Linked DNA regions of Alligator mississippiensis. The protein of the gene in region 3 interacts with the protein of the main gene of each other region in a pairwise test. Links are inferred from orthologs where the notes say so. Each region holds a gene or a part of one and is shown on either strand. Other genes may lie near its edges.

Region 1 (7,416 bases), on a different chromosome or scaffold from region 3:
TTGCTGGCAGTTTACCTTAGTCTGGACACTTGTCCACTGGGACCTGGGTTGAAATGACCAAACGTATTTACTGCAGTCCTTGCAAACAGCCTTTGTGAAGACACTTCTGATCCCTTTCTGCTGACTGGACTGGAATGGCTGACAGAGCAGGGGGTGGCCTTGTGAATCCAGGTTTCTGTGTCGTGGTGGTTGCCTTGTGTGTGTTCTTTGTTCCCCAGTGAAGCCAGAGATGGTTAGCAGGGGAGAGGCACAGTTCCCTCCAGCGTGAGAAGTTGGCTGTGCTCCTCCGGCAGTGCTGACCTGACAACTTTGTATTTCAGCACCGCATGCGCCCTGAGATTGCCCAGCTCCTTACTCCTCACATATACCAGGAGCTGGAGAACCACCCCTCGGTCCTCACCTATGAGAACATCAAGGTACATTCACAGCTGGTGCTAACCAGTGTGTCTCAAACCTTTTACTGGTAACTGGAACCCTCTGTTTAGCTCCATCATACCTGGTTGCTTTTTGGGGTTATACTGAAGTGCCTCAGCCTCACTCATTAAATTCATCTGTTTTAAAAAATATGACAGCTGACTTGGGAATTAGGTGCTATAAGAGACAACTGTATGTGGCAGCAACAAGACAGACTATGGTGCTGCATCCAGTTCTTACGGCAACCTTCTAAGAAAGATGACAAAGACCTGAAAGATGCAGAATGATGCATAGATGATTGGAGGCTCGAAAAACACTGCTAGAACGAGGCACCCTAGGACCTTAATCTTCTTATTGGAAAACAGATCAGCAACTCGATTGTTATGTATTTACTTCATGAGGTGAACATACCGGCACTCATGGATTCCTTAATGTAGCAGAAACAAACGAGAACCAACAGGTCAATGCTGAACTGAGGCAAATTTTAAATTAGACCAGATATTTTTAGCAGTGAGGATGACTAACAGTGGAACAAAGTGGTAAGGAACAGTGTGGGAAGGCCAGTAGTGGCCAACCTTTGTGACAAGCATGCCACAAGTGCAGCCCAAAGTATGAGCCAGTGCATCCACTGTATTGCCCTTTTCCATCAAACTAGTTATGCTGGCACAAAAGCAAAGGGCTGCCAGATATCCCTTCCTCCTTCAGACAAAATACAAGACCTTAAATACTCAGGCCCTAAAGTTGGGCGAAAGGAGGAGGAACGCACCTCTAAATGAATGAGCTTATTTGGATTTCAGAACCAAAGTGCCACAGACCCTGAGATGAGACTTATGTGGACTGCAAGTACCACACAGACACGTCACTGGAAAGTGCACGTGTGCATTCCACCCAAGCTGCTGGGTGTATCTGTAAGTGATAAAGCCTGTCCATCCACCCATTCCCCTGCCCTCAAAGGAAAACTTGTCTTTAGTGTATGGAACATCTGCTTGCAAACACCCACCAGCACCCATCCCTTCTAGATAATGTGAAGAATATTGCAGGTGATGAGAGAACTTGGGTCTTCCAAATAGTGCAGCATTTCTGAGTTGTCAGTGCTGTCCTATCAGGACTCTGAGGCATGGCTTGCAACCTGAAAGTCTTTCTTTCTTGCTAGTTATGTTGTGAAAATGTCTGACAGAGGCTTTGCCTTAGGTGTGTGATGCTCTGCCGCACTGCACCACCCAACACCCTCCCCCCCGCCCCGGTGTCTGTAAACTATGCCTGAAGTCTTAGGGAGGAAACCACAGATGCAAAAGGGAAGGTTGCCATGTTGGAAGGAACTCTTCTTTTCTCTGGTGACCTTTCCCTCTCTTTTCATTTCAGGGGGTTGCATCTAACCTCTTCTTTGTGGAGCATGACTTCCCTGAAGAGGAAATCCAGGAAGGGAAAAGCCATCAGAACCCACACGAGGCCAAATTCGTGGTGGAGCTATGCAAGTACTTCCTGTGCCAGGACTACCTGCCCTCTCAGATCACCATCCTCACCACCTACACTGGGCAGCTTTTCTGTTTGCGCAGGCTCATGCCTGCCAAAACCTTTGCAGGTGTGAAAGTTCACGTGGTGGATAAGTACCAGGGTGAGGAGAACGACATTATCTTGCTTTCACTTGTGCGAAGTAACAGGGAAGAGAGAGCTGGATTCCTGCAGATTTCCAACCGGATCTGCGTGGCATTATCCAGAGCCAAGAAAGGGCTGTACTGCATTGGGAACATGGGGATGCTCGGCAAGGTCCCCCTCTGGAGCAAGATCATTCACACTCTCCGAGAGAAAGGTCGGATCGGCCGCTCGCTGATACTGTGCTGCCAGAACCACCCTGACACTCGGACCCTGGTGTCCAAAGCAGCAGACTTCTGCCAAGTTCCAGAAGGGGGTTGCAGCCGCCCCTGTGAGTTCAGGCTGAGTTGCGGACACGTCTGCACTCGGGCATGTCACCCCTATGACATCCAGCACAAGGAGTTTCAGTGTCTGAAGCCCTGCCAGAAGGTGCTCTGCAAAGATGGGCACCGTTGCCCCCATTTGTGCTCTGAACCCTGTGAAGAATGCATGGTGAAAGTGCCGAAAACTATCCCCAAATGCGGCCACCCACAGATGGTTCCTTGCTCCACCCCTGCAAGTGAGTTTTCTTGTCAAGAGCCTTGTCAGAAGTATCTGACATGTGGGCACAAATGTAACAAGCTCTGTGGGCAGGAATGCACTGCGCAGTGTCCTGAGCTGGTGATGGTCACATTAAAATGTGGCCACGACCAGCAGGTGAAATGCTGGATCACGGAAGAGATGGAAAATGGGATGCCTGTGAAGTGTAAAACGAAATGTGTGACCACGCTGGACTGTGGCCATGTCTGCCCGGGCTCCTGCAACACCTGCTATGAAGGGCGATTTCACGAGCAGTGCAAGAACCCCTGCAAGCGCTTCCTCGTTTGCTCCCACAAGTGTCAGCAACCTTGCACTGGGGAGTGCCCTCCCTGCCAGCAAGCATGTCAGAACCACTGCGTCCACAGTCAGTGTAAAAAGAAATGTGGGGAGATGTGTATCCCATGCATGGAGCCATGCGAGTGGCGGTGCCAGCACTACCAGTGCACGCAGCTTTGCTCAGAGCCATGCAACAGGCCCCGCTGTGATGTACGGTGCAGTAAGAAGCTGCGCTGTGGTCATCCCTGCATCGGGCTGTGCGGGGAACCCTGCCCCAAAAAGTGCCTTGTGTGTGACCACGATGAAGTCACTCAGATATTTTTTGGCTTTGAGGAGGATCCGGAAGCCTGCTTTGTGCAGCTGGAAGACTGCGGCCACATCTTTGAGTCCCAAGGTCTCGACTATTACATGGACGAAGACGAAAGTGCCGTCAAGCTGAAGGTGTGTCCCATCTGCCAGACGCCAATTAGAAAGAACTTGAGATACGGCACCATTGTGAAAAAGCGGCTGGAGGAGATCGAGAAGGTGAAGGAGAAAATCCAAGGCCCAGCGCGTGAAATTGAAACGAGCAGGCACAGGCTGCAGGCCACGCTGGAAGGGAAGGCCGTTCTGCGGAGGGTGCTGCCTACCAAGTACGACCGGCTGGAGGACAGGCTGAAGCAGCCCAACCTCTCCACGAAGAGCGTCGGGCTCCTGGAGAACCTGATCAACTTCTACGAGCGCGTGGCGGACCTGACCGGGTCCCTGAGCAAGCTGGACCCGAGCGAGCGGGAGGTGCTGAGGAAGCGGCTGGCGGAGGTGCAGGAGTGGCTCAGCAAGCAGCGGCTCAGCTTCAGCAGCCAGGAGCTGTCGGACCTGCAGAGCGAGATGCAGCGGGTGACGTACCTGGCCAACCTCCTGACCCGCTGCAGCGCCGCCGGCACGCGGCTCAGCGCCGCGCTGGCCCAGGACGTCGCCGCCCTGCGCACGCTGCTGCAGCGCACCGGGAGGTTCACGGCGGAGGACGAGGCGGCGGTGCGGGTGAAGATGGAGGAGCTGAAGGCCGCGCTGCCCACGTCGGGGCTGGGCATCTCGGAGGAGGAGCGGGTGCAGATCGTCAGCGCCATCGGCTGCCCGCGCGGCCACTGGTTCAAGTGCAGGAACGGGCACGTGTACGTGATCGGGGAGTGCGGCGGGGCCATGGAGCAGGGCGTCTGCCCCGAGTGCCAGGCCGTCATCGGCGGCCACAACCACGCGCTGGACGACTCCAACCGCCTGGCGCCCGAGATGGACGGCGCCGCGCACGCCGCCTGGTCCGACACGGCCAACAACCTGCTCAACTTCGAGGAGCTCGGCCGCCTGCTCTAGGCCGCGCCCGCGCCCGCGCCACGGCCCGCCGCACTTTACCGCCCCGCCCCCGCCCCGCCCCGCCCCGCCCGCGCTGTCCGCGTTTTCACCGCAATAAATTTTATCCAGTCACTCAAGGTGCCTGCTCCGCCCCGGGGGGGCGGGGGTCCTGCCATCACCCGAGCAGCGCCGGAAGTGGGCGCGGGGCAGGGCGGAAGCAGCCCCTACGCGGCGTCTTCCGCCCGGCTGCCGGGCCCTCCCCCAGGTTCGGGCAGTGGGGCCAGTCAGGGCAGCGGCTTCAGCGCTGTCTGCGCGTGCGCGGCGGCGGGGAGTGCGTGTGCGCACTAGGGGGACAGCGCTCGATGGAGCCGGAGCTGGAGCCGCTGCAGCGCCTCGGCGGGGCCCTGCGCGCGGTGCTGGCGCGTGTCCGCGGTGAGCGGCGGGGCGGGGCGGGGCGGGGTCTCGGCCGGGGGTCCCGGTCCCGGTCCCGGTCCCGCGCTGAGCCGCTGCCGCCCGTGTCGTTGCAGAGGGGGAGCCGCCCGCCCGCCGCGCCTGCCCCGCCTTCCAGCCGCCGCGCTTCTGGGCCGCGCTCGGTACCGGGAGGGTGCGGGCGGGGGCGGGCAGCGCGGGGGGGGGGGGTGGGGCGGGGGCGGGGCGGTGTGTGACCGCGCGTCTCCCGGCCGGGGGGCTGCGCAGCCCGGAGCTTCCAGGCGACGTCGCGGGAGGCCACGAAGCTGAGCCTGGCCTTCTCGGGGCCGCTGCCGCCGCGCGCCCAGGTGGGTGCTCCGCGGCCGCCCCCCGCCCCGCCCCGCCCCAACCCTAGGCTCCCCGCCACCCCGCGCCCCCTTCACCCTCGCCTCGCCTCGCCTCGCCCCCCCGCAGGACCGCGAGAAGCTGTGCGACGGTGTGCGGGATGCCGTGCTGGCGGCCGCCGCGGCCTACCACGGGCTGCCCAAGGACCGAGGTGAGGCGGCCGCACCCCTGCCCCCAGGAGGAGCCGGGAGGGAGGGTGCTGGCGGGGGCAGAAGGGGCCGTGCAGAGCGGCCCCCGCGTCCCGGCCATCAGCCTCTTCCTTCTAAACCTCTCCCAGGGACCACGCTCCGGAAGATGGTGCGCGACGCCACCGCCGAGGTGGTGGAGGGCACGATCCAGCTCACAGACGTGATCCTGAGCAGCGCTCTGCAGAGGTAACGCTGGCCCTGCCCCGCCCCAGCTCGACCGGCCTCGCGGCGGGTCGCGGCCACGGGAGAGCAGCGGCTTCGTGCGTGCATGCGTGCGGTCCGGGCGCCCCCAGGGCCGGCTGGGAGCCTGGGGCTGGGCGTCGTGGGGCGGGGGCGGGGGTCTGCGTGGCTTGGTCAGGCTCGCAGCTTGAGGCGGCTGCCGGGTGCTGCTCAGTCCTCTCAGCGGCGATGGGCCCAGGGCCTCGAGGGATTTTCTTTCTCCGCTTCAGTTTGTCTCGGGAGCAGCTCGTATCGACTGGCGGCGTGTGGGAGGCGTGCGAGCAGGTGTCCAGCCTGCCGCGAGGTAGGTGGCGTCGCTGCAGGTAGCGAGAGCTCTGCTCGCAGCAGCACTGGCCCTGGTAGCCCTGAGACGGAGCGGAGCCGGTGGCTCCTCGGAGGCCAGCCCCTGCCGCACGAGCCGAGTCGCCTGATGCGGGGACGCCGCAGCTCTGAGCGACTGCAGGGAGGCGGGGGAGCGTGGTGCGAGCCGGGGAGGCGGCGGGGTCTGCACAGCCCCCGGCCCACTCACCTCCCTCTGGCCTCTGCGTGCAGATAACCAGGCAGCCGTCCTGTCAGTTGTGGCCACGTATCTGGAAGTGGTCAAGGATGCCCTGAAGGAGATGGAGCAGGTAAGAGGCCCTTACTTCCCTCTACAGACAGCTGTCAGCTCTGGGCTTTGCAGTAGTGCTGCTGTGACAGCAGGCAATGAGTTTGCCCCGGACAGCGGTCCAGTTGGTTTCTGTGTTTTGGTTTCGACTCAGACCGAGATGTTCAGCCCCACACGGCGGGGGCGCCTGTGAAGTGTTCAGTTTCTAGCTCGATATGGGGCTGCTGCAACTCGCGTCCCTGGCTTCTCCCTGAGGGGCTGTTTGCTGGTGGGGAGAGGGGTGTTCCGGCAGGCTCTTGTTTTAGGCGTGTTGGCTGTAGCCCTGATGGTTTAAGGACATAGCTGGACATGGTTCTTTGGGTGAATGCAATATGTTTTATTAAATTAAGTAATTAAATAGTTGGCCTAATAAAAGACATCAGATTTCCCAGCAAGCTCTTGGCATTCGGTAGCCTTGAGGGGAGGGTCTAACTTCTATATCAGTCTCCTACAGAGAAGCCTTCTCAGCAATGGCCTTGGACACCTGGGAGCTGGGGGATCCTGAGGGAAGCTTGGGTGTGCTGGGGATTGCTCGTCATGCCTGGGGCAGATGGTGGGTTCCAGAATCCCGACGTGCTTGTGTCCTCAGGCTCAGGTTGAAGGAGGTGACCCCTACGGGGACATCATGGAGGATGAGGAGCTGGGTTCTCGAGGCAATCGGGATACCTACTGGTCCGAGGCAGACCGGAAGCTGCTCAGCCCCTGCATGGGGCTGATGAAGGCCTCCAAAGCCTGCCTGAAGAAGGTCTTGGGTGCAGTGAAGGCTCACGGCAAAGCAGACACACCGGAACATGTCGCGCAGCTGGATGACCTTGCAGACATTGCCAACGAGATCAGCCCCTGGTGAATCCTCCCTTCCCTTTCATTGTGGCTTGCTGGGTGCTGTGCTAGAAGCAGCATCTTCGCAAGGGTTGCATTGCCTTCTGAGCTGGTGGTGGGAGTAGGGGCATTTGACCCTGGACCTCTGAGATGGGCTACAGGTGTCATCCTAGCTGGGCAGGAGAGAGCTCCAAGGAAGTAGCCTGGGGAACAGGAGTGATGCCCTGGCTGCAAGGCAAGGGAGAGTGTGTTCAGGCAGAACCCATGCTGAACCTGGCAGCACCAGTTTGCTCTCAGAGGCGATTCAGTAGGTGGCTGGTGTCACCTTGGGCTGTGTGCTTGCTGGCACTGCCAGGGGGTCCCCCTCCTGTAGTGACTGCTCTTTCTGTTCTGCCGTAGTGTGGACGAGCTGGCACTGAGCATGTATCCACCCATGAACCAGCTGGCTGTGCGCCTCAATGTAAGTCCTGCTGTTCTTCAGCCTTCCTGTATAGAGGCCCTGGCCTGGCTCCCGTGGAGAGCAGAGCGTGTCCACGGGGGAGC
Region 2 (6,997 bases), about 72 Mb from region 3:
GACAGGTTGGAAAGAGTCCAGTGCAGACGGACCTGGGGGACGAGAGCGAGGAGGAGCAGCTGGGAGAACTGGGGGACTGAGCCTGCAGAAGAGAAGACTGAGGTGGGATTTGATAACAGTCTTGAAATCCCTGAAGGGCGATGGCAGGGAGGATGGAGATGGGCTTTTCTCTGTGGCTGTTGCGGCAGGACTGGGAGCAACAGTCTCAAGCTGCAGGAGGGGAACTGAGGCTGGAGATGAGGAGGAACTGTCTGGTGCTGAGGGGGGTCAGGCATTGGAAACAGGCACCGAGAGGTGGGGAATCTCCAGCCCGCGAAGTTTTCAAGAGCGGGTTGGACAGACACATGGCTGGGATGGGTTAGGGAAGGGTGCTCCTGCCTTGAGCCGGGGGCTGGACGGGACGTAACCTCCTGAGTCCCCTGCCAGCCCTGCTTTCCTGTGATCCAGTATATACACACATACATACTACACACAATTTATACACGCACACATACTTCTCAGCTTCCTCGGTGCAAAAATGAAATTTATTTCCTACCTATGGGACTTTTTACCATCTTTAACTTTCCCTGAGCCTGAGGAAGGGTGTGCAAGCCCAAAAGCTTGAAGGAAAAAATGATATATTTTGCAATTTCTCGGTTGGTCTAATAAAAGGTATCATCTCTGAGCCAAGAGTTCTAGAGTTGTCATTTCTTTTTTTGTCTCAGACCAACACAGCTACCAAATATATCCCTGACACATACCACACACACACACACACACGTATATACACACATACACATGTATACACGCATGCGTATACCTGCATATAGACACATATATGCGCATATCTATATACACATGTCTATACATGTACACACATATATATCACGGACACGGACATATATACACACATACATACACACACACGTATACAAAGGCTGGTAGAAGTTGGTCCTGACTTCAGAGGGTCTGCTCGGAGCGGCTGCACAGGGCTGGGGGTGCCAGCCCCTCTCATGCCTCCCCCATTCAAGCTGGCCTGCGGGGAGTGCCCACCCTCCGCCCATCTTGCAGGGGATCGGGGGCAGCCTGCCTTCATCCCCTGGGACCCCATCAGTTCCTGGGCTGCTGCCAGCAAGGCCAGGCCCTTTCCCTCTACCCTGCATCACCGCTCCGGGCTGACCCCGTTGCCCCCAGACGGGAGACCCAGGGATGCATGGCCCATAGATTTGGGCGAAGACAGCGTCGCTCCTCCACAAGGGGGCAGTGCGCCACCGCCCCTGGGCTGACTGGGCCCAGCCGGATGTCCCACTTGCAACAGGCTTGGGTTTGGGGTCTTGGCTCGTGGCTGGGGGAAGGGACCAACCTTCTCCTTGCCCCTAGGATGCTGTCCCCTACCACTGCACCATGCTGCAGTCAGCAGGCACTGGCACCTGGATGGAGCAGGCAGAGCGCTCGGCCCTCCTTTGTAGACAGGACATGGGCACTAAGTGACAGGGCCAGGGTCGCACAGGCAAGCAGTGGCAGAGCCCTGCTCTCCCTGGACAACATCCGCTGCCCGGATCTCAGCAGCTCGCACCTGGCCCTTGTGCGAAGGGAACTGCTCCATTGCCTGGTGGCAGCAGTAGGAGGCTGTTAGCCTCTCCTGGAGTGGACCAGGCACAGCCTACGAGCCCCTCAAATCCCCCATCCTCCTTTCCCCCCGCAGTGTCAAGGGCTGCATCTCCTCCCTCCACGCCTGCCTCCCCAGGGGGAGATCAGCAGCCAGCTGGCACGGCTGGAGGTGGGGGTCTCTGCGAGGGGCAGCCAGGCCCTCGGGTCCCGTCATGTCCTCAGTGTGGCCCCGTGAGTCCTGGTGCCTCCTCGCGGGCATCGGGGTCAGGAAAGAGGCCCAGGAGAAGGGACCGGGGACTCGGATGCCTGGGCTGTGGTCCACAGAGGTGTCTCTGACAGCTACTGACTGCCCGCAGGACCTTAGGCATGCCAAACATACCTCTCCTGCCTCAGTTTCTCCAGTCTGTGCAGTGGGGACAGGCCACTTCTGTGTCACCAGGCACTGCCCTACTACACAGAATAACACAGGCCTCTTCCCTTTGCCACTGACCCACTGCATGGCCTTGGGCATGACACTTAAGGTCGCGCTGTCCACAGAGACCAGAGGAGCGATTGGCTTTTCAGAGCAAAGTGCCTGGTGGTTTATAGCTCCATGCCTCAGTCACCCCATCTGTGAAATGGGCAGAGAACGGTGCAAGAGCCCACCTCTGCTGTGCAGCAAGACTGGAAGTGCCCCGCGGTGGTGGCAGGGGGTTCAGCACGTCCTCATGCCTAAGCACACACATATGCACACATGTATGCACTGGTGTGCACACATGCCAGGCCACAACACATGCTGCCCCCATCCTTGCCCAGCTCCTGTCCTTCAGGCCTGCTCGCTCCACAGCAAAACACCTCATGAGCTCCGTGCCTCAGTTTCCCCACCTGAACTGACACTGGAGCCTCAATGCCCCGGAGAGTGTGAGCATCCCCCACATGTGGCCCTGGTACAAAGGTAAGAGTCTACAAGTGCTGCAGGAGCTCTTCCTTCAGCTCATGCGAGAGACGATCCTGTTTTTAGTGTGGGTGAGCCGTTGCGGTGCCTCCGACCCGCTTCTCCGCATGCTCCGGCCGTGCAAATGATTAGGGACTTATGCAAATACTATTATACACGGTCAGGTGTAACCAGGCCATGGAGACCCCACGGAGGTGGAGAAAGGGATGGTCCTGGAAAGCAAGAAATGCCCATCTCTCTCAACTGCGTGAAGGACTCCTGCACGGTTCTTTATCCATTTTTATCCCAGCAGGCCCTGGGGGCTCAAACCCAGATCCAGACCCTGTCTGTGCTAGGTCCTGTACAGACGTGCAACCAGCTCGGTCCCTGCCTCTGAGCACACAGTGATCACCGGGTTCGGTAGACACGGGCACAGGGGACTGAGAAGAACTAACAGTGTCCTTTATGGCGGAGCAGCACTCAACCTCTGCAGACCCTTGGTCTGTCTCTCGTTAATTCACCGAATGGAGGGGCCTTCTCCCAATGCCCGACCTCCGTGGTCTCCTCCATAAGGGAGCGTCTCCAAACGAGCACTTCTCTCGCTGCAGAGGACTGGCAGCCCGATGGACCAGCGGGAGCGGGGCTGGGCAGGCCGTGCCTTACACACGGTGGCGCAGCTGGCTAACGAAGCCTCCAAACGGAAATGGCTAATGAATCACCCTTGGTCGGGAGAAGGCGGGGGTGTCAATTATGGCCCTCGGCCGCGTGCCGGCAGCAGCACTCCTGCTCCCATGGCCTTAGTCCACTGGGCCCTGACACCCCGGGGATCCCCTTGGCACTTGCTCAGCTGTTTCCAGGGTCTCAGCAGGCCTTGCACGGAGGGGGCAGCCCGTCCCTACAAGCCGTGCACGGCAATCGTCCCAAGGCTGTTACTGCACAGAGTGGGGAAACTGAGGCACGGGACAGCTTCGCAGCCCTCAGCCAGCTCCTTCCAGCACTTGCACACCTGCTTCCTTTGCCAGCTGTCAGCGCCGCCGTGCTGTGGGCCTGGCGAAAGCCCCCATCCCAGCCAGGAGACACTCGGGGGGGGGCCGGGGCTGGTCTCTGTGGGACGCCTTCTCTGAAGCGGGGAGCCCGGCTGCGGCGGGGAGAGGGGCAGCAGGTGCAGCTCCGAGTTCAGATGTGGGCATTAAGTCTGGGTTTCTGGGAGCCGCCTGGGCAGGGCGCGGCCCCCCGCAACCACCGGCTCCCGGGCCCTGGCAGCCGCGGGCTCGGCTTCCCCGCAGAGCGGAGACATGCCCGAGGCGGCGCAGGAGGGCGGTGGCAGGGAGAGGGAGCGGCGAGGGGAGGGGAGGGGGCGCCGGGCGCGGGGGAGGGCGCGGGCGAGGGCGCGCGCCGCGTTTGTGCGCGCGCGCCGCTCGGGGGAATACGGCGCGGGCGGCGGGCGCACACGGAGCCTTACGGCGGCGGGGGGCCGCGGGTTCGAGGCCGGCCCGGGCGGGATGGAGCCGGGCGCGGCGCTGCCCGCCGAGCTGCGCGAGCTGGAGGGCAAGGCGGGGCGCGGGACGCCCGCGGGGCTGGCGCGGTGGCTGCGCGGGGACCCGCTGCTGCCGCTGCCCCCGGGGCCGGGGCCGGGGCCGGGGCCGGCCGGGGCGGGGGAGGGCGCGGGGCTGTCCGGCAAGATCGCGGCGCTGCGGCTCGAGCTGGTGAGTGCCCCCCCCGCAAAGCCCCGCTGTTTTGCAATAGACCCTTTTGGGTTGCAATACCCCCCCACCTTTGCAAAGCCCCGCTGTTTTGCAGCACGCCCCCTGCACTAGCCCCCTCCCGCAGCCGCACCTCCCCCAGGGTTGCAGCACCCCTCCCGGGCTCTGCAGAGCCCCGCTGTTCTGCAATAGACCCCCCAGCTCTGCAATAGTAGCCCCCCCCCTCCGCAGTAGCCCCCCCGCAGCAATGTCGCTGCCCACCCTGGCAGCACCCCCAGCTCTACCGTAGCCCCCACAGTAGCCCCCCTCCCCGGCTCTGAGTAGTGACCCCCCCACAAGGATTTGCAGTGCCCCCCCAGGGCAGCCCCCCCCAGCTCTGCAGTAGCTTCATGTAGCAACTGCCCCCGCAATAGCTTCCACAGCCCCGAGCCCTCTCCCCCACCTTTAACACCCCCCCCATCTGCAATAGCCCCCGTGGACAGCAATACCCCTGCCCCAATTCTGCCATCCTGCCCCCCAGGCAGCAACCCCCCCCAGCTCTGCAATATTCCCCCTGGGGCAGAGACCCCCCAGTATTGCAATAGCCCCCCTGCAGGGTAGAGACTCCAGCCTGGCCATAGCCGCCCCTCGGTAGTGACCCCCCCCTCCCCCCCGATCTGCAGTAAATAACCCCCCCAGCTGAGCCATAGCTGCCCCCCAGGCATCACCCCCTCTGTTCTGCCCCCTCCCGCACCCGGCCAGGGCCCAGGCCCCCCAGGCTGTGCTGGGGCACATGGGGGGCTTCGCAGGCTCAGGCTGGAGCTATTCGGTGCCAGGGCAGCTGTGGGGGCCCGTTCATGACCGTCACCTTTGCTGTTCCCTATCCCCTCCGCGGTGCCCAAACCCCCGGGGCTGGCTGGGAGTCCCCTTCCGGCGGCTCCGGTGCCCCACACATCCCGCTCAGTCCGGGCCAGCTGGGCCCGAGGTAACATCGCGAGTCCTGATGATCCGGCAGGAATCGGGCCCCCAGAAATGCAAATCCTTCCTCGTCCCTAATTACACCCATTCTCCACCCACCCGGAAGGAGGCTGCAGAACTGGCCGCTCCTGGGAGCAAGGAGACCCGGGCTTCGTTCCCGGTGCTGCCCCCCACTCACTGGGTGACCTCAAGCCCATCACTTAGCTCATTTGGGCCTCAGTTCGCCTGGCTGTAGCCTGCAGGAGGTGCCAACCCATTTTATAAAGCGTTTAGAGCGCCAAAAGGAGCAGGGTGGCGTTGTTATAGGACAGGAGGTCAAGGAAATGGAAGTGCCTGGGGCTTGATCCTGGCAGGTGCCAGGGATGGGGGTGCAGAGCTGCTTTCTGCTCCATCTCTGGCAGAGCCGCTCGGGGCCAGCTGCACTCCCTGCCCCGCGCTGACCCGGCCTGGGATTATCGGGGAGGGGCCGGCTCCAGCGTCGCCCTGGCCTGCCCCGTGCCTCGACCCTTAGCGCCCTGTGCCTGTCCACGGCTCCACGCCTGTGTGGGAGGGCGCCTGCCATGTTACAATGGTGAGGCGGTGAGCAGAGCCCTGCGGCCGGCTGTGCTGTTCCGCCCCAGAAGCAGCTGCGAGTGGCGGGGGTTGGTCCGTAGCTTGCGATGAAAGCAGCTCCTTGCGGGTAATAATAGCACAGAGGAGTCTAATGAGGACACCCCGATCCCATATCACCCCCCTTCCTTGATCTCCTGCCCTATAACAACGGCACCCTGCTCCTATCGGCGCTCTACACGCTTTATAAAATGGGTTGGTACCTCCTGCAGGCTACAGCCAGGCAAACTGAGGCCCAGATTAGCTAAGTGACGGGCTTGAGGTCACCCAGCAAGTGAGTGGCAGCGCTGGGGATGCAGCCCAGACCTCCTGGATCCCAGGAGCGGCCCATTCTGCAACCTCCTTTCGGGTGGACGCAGGCTGGGTGTAATGAGGGAGGAGGAAGGGTTTGCATTTCTGGGGACCTGATTCATCCCGGATACAACACAGAAGCCTGCTTTCCCAGCGTCTTGTGTGCAGGCCTGTTCTCTCTGAGTGTCGGATAGGCTCTCCCGGGCTGGCCTTTGCAGCAGGAGATGGCTCTGGGGGTCTGAAGCCCGTGCCCCCATGCTATAAAGACCCAGCCGAGGGGGGTGGGGGGGGTCCTCCAGATCCCTGGCATGAGCAGGCACAAATGTAATGAAGAGAGCTCCCTGCATTGGTTTCTGTAGCCACCGATCTGGCACCAGCCTCTTCCTTCCCTTCCCTGCTGGTTTTGCTGCCTGCGACGGAGCCTGTCCTTCTGGCGGGCCGGCCCACGCTCTCCCAGCTGCCGGCCCCCGCAGCCCCCTTCCCTGACGCCCGACTGACGTACACCATGCATGGATACCAGATGCAGCAAAACCCAGCTCCGCGTGCCTCCGACGGGGGCTTTTTTAAAGGGGCATCGGCAAGGAAATTGCTTTCGCATGGTGCTGCTCGCAGCGTTGTGGCTCAGGGGAGCAGGGACGATCTAGGGAGCCACGGCTTTTACCGGCGGGCCGCTTTCCCGGTGGGTTTCTAGGCTGAGGTCTAAACACGGAAGCTGCTTCAGAGGCCGGGGATGCAGTGGGGGTGCTCACGGCACCCCAGGGCGGTGTTGTTAACCCTGCTCCCTAATGTGGAAACTGAGGCACGGAGCAGCTAAGTGATGTGCCCGAGGTCACCCAGGTGGCATGACTGGAGCTGTGGCGGGTCTCTTGTCCGGAGGCTTGAGAATTGGCGGAGGCAGGCCCCGGGCTTGGCTAAGTGCAATGCGGGACGCAGC
Region 3 (6,935 bases):
CACCGTAGGCCTGGCTCCCACTCTTCTTGGGCTTTCTGCTGCTCTATACTCTGGCACTGATAGGGAATGGGCTTCTAGTGGGGCTGAGCTGGTTTGATCCCTACCTGGGCTCTCCCATGTATGTCTTTCTGAGGAACTTCTCAGTGCTGGACACGTGCTATGCCTTTGTCACACTGTCTCAGCTGCTAGCTGGCCTGCTGAAGGGCCACCGGGTCATTGCACTCATGGCCTGTGCCACCCAGACCTGCATCTTCCTCTCACTTGTTATTCCCCTGTGCTTGCTGCTGGCCATCATGGCCTATGACTGCTACTTGGCTGTGTGTCACCCACTACATTACATGACCCTCATGAGCCCTGGGTAGTGCTGGGGGCCGGCAGGCACAGCCTGGGTTGATGGTTTCTTCCTCTCTGGGGTAGACACTGCTGTGGCTTTCCACCTGCCCTACTGTGAACATGCCCACATCAACTACTTCTTCTGTGAGGTGACAGCTGTGCTGGAACTGGCATGTGCTGGCGCCTCAGCTGCCCAGGCTGTGGTAATGGTAGTGGGTGTGCTGGTCCTCTTGGCTCCTCTCGCTTTCATCCTGGCCTCCTATGTCCTCATTGTGTGGATGGTGATATATATACGTTCCAGCCAGGGCTGCCGCTGGGCCTTCTCCACTTGTCTCCCACCTCACTGTGGTGACCATCTTCTATGGGGCTGCCATCTATACCTACATGAGGCCCTGCCTCAGCCTCTGGCCTATCCTGGACAAAGTTGTGTCCATCTTCTACACAGCAGTCACCCAGCACTGAACCCTCTCATATATAGCCTCCGCAACAAGGAGGTGAAGGGAGCTCTGGCCAGGGCTGCCCAGCGTGGCTCCACCTCATGCCTCTGAGCTGGCAGGGCACCCCTGCAGATAGTCCTCCACTGGCAGCATTCCTCCATCTGTGGGGACACTGGATCCTCAGAAGAAAGATGTCAGCTTCTGGCATAGGTCAATCTATGATTTTGAAAGAGGGGGTGTGGTAGATGCAACTGGTGCCACAGGGGCAGCTGCCAGGACCCCTCCCTCCCAGCATCTCCCCTGATCTTGATTCGTGCCATGGCTGCTTTTGTCTTGAGCTGTTCCACAAGGGGCTGCATGTGTTCAGATTTGGAAGACATGAAGGTGGCTCCGCTTGTTATGCAAATCGACTTTTTGCCTATTGTTTTTAATCTTATGTATTTTGTTGAGTTTTGTATTGCCTTAAGAAACTCCATTTTGTATTGCTCTGTAGCTTGACACAAGTGCTCGACCTTTTACGCTTTTGTATGCTGTATGGATGAGTGTGTGTTTGTGGAAAAGGAAAACATTGGCTGGTGACTGGCTGAAGAATGCAGACAGATAAAAGACCAAAACAAGAAGAATTTGCCCCGGAACAGTGAGAGAACAATGAAATTGACCTTCAAGGAAGAACACAGCAAAAGCCCAGAGGACAGGGTGAATTGACAAGGCTATAAAAGATGGGGCGAGACATATCGATTTTGGGTCTTGTTCTGCACGTCATCCTAGAGCATTGGTTTGTCTGACAAGATGGACCAGCAGGAGCCCAGCGCCTACTCATAATCAACTTGGCTAGCCACTAAGCTGATCCAAGTACTGATAAGACTGGTAATGTATACCACTGCAAAACAGAAATTGGGGGTATGAATGTGATGTGTGTGTGTGTATTAAGTGCTTAATCAATAAATGTGGCATCTTGCCTTATCCTCCCTCATAAGGTCTTGCTTGTGATTTGAGCAATTGTCAATTTGTGTAACACGCTTTCCTGTGCCCCCAGATGCAAGGGTCCACCAGGGTACCCCCTTTCTCCACCTGCTCCCTGCCACTGCTACTGTCTCCAACCAAGGTGGGCACCCCACATAGCTGCTTCCCATCACCTGTGGCTGGGGCAGGGCAGAACCAGCCTTGGGGCTCCCCCCACTCTTGGGTCAGCTGGGGAGAGTGGCCATAAAAGGTGGGTGCCTCCTTTCTGTGCTTGCTCCCTGTTTGCTCCCCCTGGGTGTCCATCAGGAGCACAGGGCTCTAGCCATGCCTTACACTCCCTCACCTGCCATGGTCTGAGACCAGTTCCTGCTCTCTGGATTCCAAGGGGTACCCAGGTGTCTGTGTGGGAAGTGGAGCCACCAGCGTGTCATCTAGAGAGCGCACTACTCTGCATCATGGAAAGGGGGTGCAACTACACTACTGCACTCCCCCTGGATCCACCCCTCACTTCTGGGTGAGGAAGACCAGGCTGTGGTCTACCTTCAGCTGACCAGTACTGTTCCAGCCTTGCCAGCAAGGGGTATTTAAAAATGACAAGATTAGATTAAAATAATTGTAATATAATAAAGAGTTTAGACTGTCTTTCTGTAACACTTTTGGGCAACTGTGCGTACGCCGCCCAGAGGGCTGGCGGGGACTCCTCCTCAGGCAGGGAGGCAGGAGCCCCTCTGCTCTGTGGAAGGAGGCGGAGGCGGGCAGGGAGTTTATATGCTAGCAATATATATATACTAACTATACTTGCCCATCCCATGGTAATCCTAATCATAATCCTAATGCAATCTAACTCTGATCCCATCCTACTGTATCTATAATAATCAGAATGCCACTCTATTGTAATGCTGCTCTTCCTTTCTCGTACACTGTTGTAATATTAAATACATTCTAGGCAATTTCATTTCATCCTATCCTATAATCCTTGTTATGATAATCTGAATTTCATCCTACCCTAATCCCAACTGTAATTTAATTCTAATCCTTATTGTAGTCTTATACTTTTCTAGCCTACTTTATCCTCACTCAAAATTATTTCTATAGAGTAATTGTCAACCCAGTTCCTTGTATCCCACCCTAATAGCTCCAATTTTCAGTTAAAAAAGACATAACCCTAAAGCCACATTTTTCCCCGTGATTTAAATGAAATGCTGCTAATATAGAGATATATGTATACTAGCATTTCATTTTAATCACAGGAAAAAGTGGATTTGGGGTTTTTTGGGTTTTTTTTAAACCAAAAATTGGGAAGTTTTTTAAATCGGAGAAAACCAGGATTCCCCCTTCTCAGGCGGGTCCCTGCAGGGAGCCTGAACTGGCGTCAGTAATGTGGGAGGCAACATAGGTGACTTCAGCCCCAAGCCCACCCCATCTGTTTCTTCCCCCCGGCTCCGTGCAGGGGCGGGGGCACGACGCCGCCGAGGGACTCAGTTCCTGCACAGGCTGCGGTCAGAGTCCGGGTGGAAGGGCCGGGCCGGGCCGGGCCGGGCCGGGCCGCAGGAGGCGCTTTGGGTCCCTGGGTCGGGCGTGGCTTCACGCCGGCACGGGGAACACGGACGCTGCCTCTGGGAGGCTGCACCACTGCTTCTCAACCAGGTTTAGTAGCACTGCTCGCCGGGAGGGAAGAGACAAACCCGCACCCCCGGCGGACATGGGAAGTCCCGGGCTGCAGCTGGAGCTCAGCGCCGAGACCCGAAGAGACCGCACAGTCTAGGAGGCGCCGCGCACACTAACACAGGCGCGGGGCGGGGCCGCGCCAGCCTGGGGGAGGGGCACCGGCGAGGAGCGCGGGGGCCGGGCTCCTAGCCCCACCCAGACCCCCGCCCTCCACGCTCCTACCTCACCCTCTTAGCTCCGCCCCCTTCGCGTGGCTAGGGAGGGGCAACAGAGGGGAGGACGAGAGCGCGGGGCGGGGCCTGAGGAGGGCTCCGCGGGAGGGGGCGGGTCCCGGCTCCGATTCGCTGGCAGGGAGGGGGCGGGCCCTCAAGACAGCCCCGGTCCCGCCCCCCTCAGGTCCCACAGCAAGCGGAGTACGAACCCCGATTGGCCGTTTGGAAAACCCGCTCGCTGGCTCCCGCAGCCCAGCTCTCGCGATGTTCTACGGCGCGGGATTCTCGGCCCAGCTCTCGAGAAAACGGAATTCTCGCCCTGCAGCAGAGTGATGGGAGCGGCGAGGTGAGACCCGGAAACGACCTGGGCTGGCCAGTTCCGTCCCGGCCCCGTGCAGAACCACCTCCTTCGGGCTCGCGCAGGCGGGGCGGGGCGGGGCCGGGCGGGGGCCCCCCCCCCGGCTGTGCGGTTGCGCATGCGCGGGGCTGTGTGCGGCTGGGGGTCCCGCTAGGCCGGGGGGCGGGGCCGGGCGGGGCCGGTCTCGTCTCGTCTCGTCTCGTCTCGTCTCACGGCTTCGGTGTCGCCCGCTGCAGATGCCCCGTCACTGCTCTGCTGCTGGCTGCTGCACCCGCGACACCCGCGAGACCCGCGGCCGAGGCATCTCCTTCCACCGGTGAGTCCGTCCCGGGTCTGGCGCCCTGCCTCCACCCCGGCCTGTGCGGCGCTGCCTCTGTTCCCGAGCCTGTGCAGGCCCTGCTTCCCATTCACCTGGAGGTCATCCCCCACCCCGTGTACCTCCGCCCTGCGGAGCGTGTTGTGAGGCGCCTGCCTCGGCACAGCCCCGGGCCCTCCCCACTGCGCCCCCTCGCTGGGCTCTGGAGCATGTTGAACCCATCCTCTCTGTGCAGCTCCTCACTGCCAGCTGAGCACGCTCCTGCACGTCTGGCCCCAGCACCAGGTGGCAGGGCTGAGGGTCCCTGTGAGCTAGCCTGCCTTCTACCCCAATCCCATGAGCCAGTGGGGACTAAAGTTGGGGACTTTTACACCTTCATCTGCTGCACTTCATTGATTTTGTTGTTACTTGCCCTTTCTGTGAACAGAGGGAAGCCCTGGCATGTGGCAGGCTGCAGACCTCCTCCTGTCATCACTCTGCACTTCTCCCTGCATCTCTAATTTTAGGCACTCCCTGTCCATGGCCCCACCAAGTCCTGGGATGTCCTGGTCAACCTCCTCCTGGCTCTGGCCACCTACAGGCCAGGAGGAGGTATTTGTGGGAGGAGACCCAGGCAACTGTTGGACTGCCTTCCTGTCATTCCTCCACACACATTTCTGGATAGAGTTTCATTGAGAGGCATCTGCTGGCTTCTGGGGTGTAGTGGAAGGGCAGTAGTTGCTAGCTGGTGTCCTCTACTTGGTGTCCTACCTTGGACCACTTGTTACCAACCTGTGACTTTCATTCCTGTCTTGTTTTCTCTCTTGTTGTCCAGTGTAATCTGTTAACATGCATTCTCCTTCCTCAACCAATGAAGTTCCTTGTTGTAGCAGTTAAGGCCCCCAGGTTGCCCTTTCTTGGAGTAACTCAGCAGTGCTGGCCTTATCTCTCGCAGGCTGCCCAAGAAGGATAACCCGAGGCGTGTCATGTGGCTGGAAAACTGTCGGCGCAAGGATCCCAGCGGTCAGGGTCTCTGGGATCCGACCTCCAAGTACATCTACTTCTGTTCCAAGCATTTTGAGAAGAGCTGCTTTGAGATGATGGGCATCAGGTGAGTGCAGGAAATCATGCCAACCCTGGATAACTCCAGTTTTGTGCCTCAGGGCAGAGTGGCAGTGAGAAGCTAGATCTAAACCAGCCTGGGCAAACAAGCTTTCTTGTGAGCACTTGTAATTCTGCGAGTAGCTGCCACTTTCTTTCATCTTGGGCTGGACTCCTCCACATGCCCCTGTCCTTCCCCTTGCCCCTTTCTAGATTTGTACACCTCTTTCCTCCACAAAAACAGATTGGTTTGCGTGGAACTTCCTGAGTTAGGAAGCATCTTCTGCTCCCAGTGGAAGTTCACTGAACTTCATGAATCTTTTGCCTGCTTCCCCTCCATTGAAAATGATTTGATTTACTCAGGCTGAAAACAGACATCACCTCTGTGCTGCTGTTAAATTTTTGATGGGGGCACAAAGCAAAAGCAAAAGCAAACCATGCTCTTTGTCATGCCACAAATGCCCAAATTTGTGGCCATGACAAAAAGCAGTATTAATTTTTGCTACTAGTTTGCGGTGGACTTCTGTTTGCTTTATGGCAGGAGAGCGTGGGCAGCCTGAAACTCCCAAGACTTTAGGGGCCTGATCCTGAGCATCTGGGGAATTCCCCTGCAGGGATATTTTTAGGGCATGCAGGATCATGCATCTTCAGCCCTGGGAATGCTTGACCATGTTGACCTGGGAGTGCTTGACCCCATTGCTGCATCCTGACTTGGGGCACACCTCTGCCAATGGGGGAACCCCAGGTAAGTGTTCCTAGAGCTTTAGGGGTCCCTGTTTGCAGTGGGGTGCCCTAGAAATCCCCCAGCACGGATTGTGCTGCTGCACCCTCAGGGCATGTCTCTATAAGTAGGGGAACCCCAAGGTTCCCCCACTTGCAGAGGTGCACTGCAAGTTGGTTCTCCTGTTTCAGTTGTCCCACAAGATCAGGCCCCAGGAGTAGCAGGGGCCTGACCTGGCTGGAAACAGGTGCTCAGTGAAGTGGACCAGTTGTTCTGGGAAACATCCTGGAACAGCTGATGCCACAACAAAAATGGCATCTATTTTTAGCTTCAGTTCTCTCTTAGTTCAGACACATCTCCTTCCTCCTCCTACAAAGATGGACGCGTCTATCTGGTTCTTCCCTCATCCCAGTAAAGATGGACTGGTCTGCTTGGTCCTTGTTCCCCCCAGTCAAGATGTATCTCCCTTCTCTCTGGACTCATTTAGTGACAAATGCTGAGAGAGCAGTCATCCTTTGGTACAACAGCCCTGTTAAACTACTGGTGAGATGCAAGAATGTTCCAGACCAGTGATTCTCAACCTTTTTTGAACTAAGACCCATTTGTAAACATTGATGGTCCAGCCCCCCAGCTGGTGAGGTTAGGGAGTGGGTTGTGGGGCATGGAGGCCCCCAAGCAGCCCCTTGCAGGCTGGAACTCTTATAGCCTGCAAGGGGAAAGCCACGGTTTCCCACATTTTTTCTCCTTTAAAGGAGAATCCATGTTTAAAGTTTGCTGATCCATTTTAAACATTTGTTCATGACCCTTTCATATAATTCTTGTGACCCATTTTTTGGGTCGCGACCCA

The links.
Region 1: the proteins of THAP7 (region 3) and CCNDBP1 interact in binary tests that used the Homo sapiens proteins (3 or more experiments, as listed by UniProt). The two-hybrid records come from large-scale screens. The link is inferred for Alligator mississippiensis from reciprocal best matches to the Homo sapiens genes THAP7 and CCNDBP1.
Region 2: the proteins of THAP7 (region 3) and LURAP1 interact in a two-hybrid assay, tested with the Homo sapiens proteins (2 studies listed by BioGRID and IntAct). The two-hybrid records come from large-scale screens. The link is inferred for Alligator mississippiensis from reciprocal best matches to the Homo sapiens genes THAP7 and LURAP1.

Annotation. Positions count from the first base shown.
Region 1 is NC_081832.1:303,247-310,662, reverse strand, and holds the start of CCNDBP1 (cyclin-D1-binding protein 1), read left to right. Parts: upstream 1-4,405; 5' UTR 4,406-4,550; coding exon 4,551-4,620; intron 4,621-4,715; coding exon 4,716-4,781; intron 4,782-4,884; coding exon 4,885-4,964; intron 4,965-5,070; coding exon 5,071-5,152; intron 5,153-5,278; coding exon 5,279-5,375; intron 5,376-5,638; coding exon 5,639-5,712; intron 5,713-5,960; coding exon 5,961-6,037; intron 6,038-6,643; coding exon 6,644-6,897; intron 6,898-7,272; coding exon 7,273-7,333; intron 7,334-7,416. Other genes in the region: ZNFX1 (NFX1-type zinc finger-containing protein 1), read left to right, coding at 321-416, 1,777-4,209. UniProt on the Homo sapiens protein: May negatively regulate cell cycle progression. May act at least in part via inhibition of the cyclin-D1/CDK4 complex, thereby preventing phosphorylation of RB1 and blocking E2F-dependent transcription.
Region 2 is NC_081828.1:3,376,122-3,383,118, forward strand, and holds the start of LURAP1 (leucine rich adaptor protein 1), read left to right. Parts: upstream 1-3,940; 5' UTR 3,941-4,005; coding exon 4,006-4,209; intron 4,210-6,997. UniProt on the Homo sapiens protein: Acts as an activator of the canonical NF-kappa-B pathway and drive the production of pro-inflammatory cytokines. Promotes the antigen (Ag)-presenting and priming function of dendritic cells via the canonical NF-kappa-B pathway.
Region 3 is NC_081828.1:75,277,381-75,284,315, forward strand, and holds the start of THAP7 (THAP domain-containing protein 7), read left to right. Parts: upstream 1-3,875; 5' UTR 3,876-3,959; intron 3,960-4,207; coding exon 4,208-4,287; intron 4,288-5,221; coding exon 5,222-5,377; intron 5,378-6,935. UniProt on the Homo sapiens protein: Chromatin-associated, histone tail-binding protein that represses transcription via recruitment of HDAC3 and nuclear hormone receptor corepressors.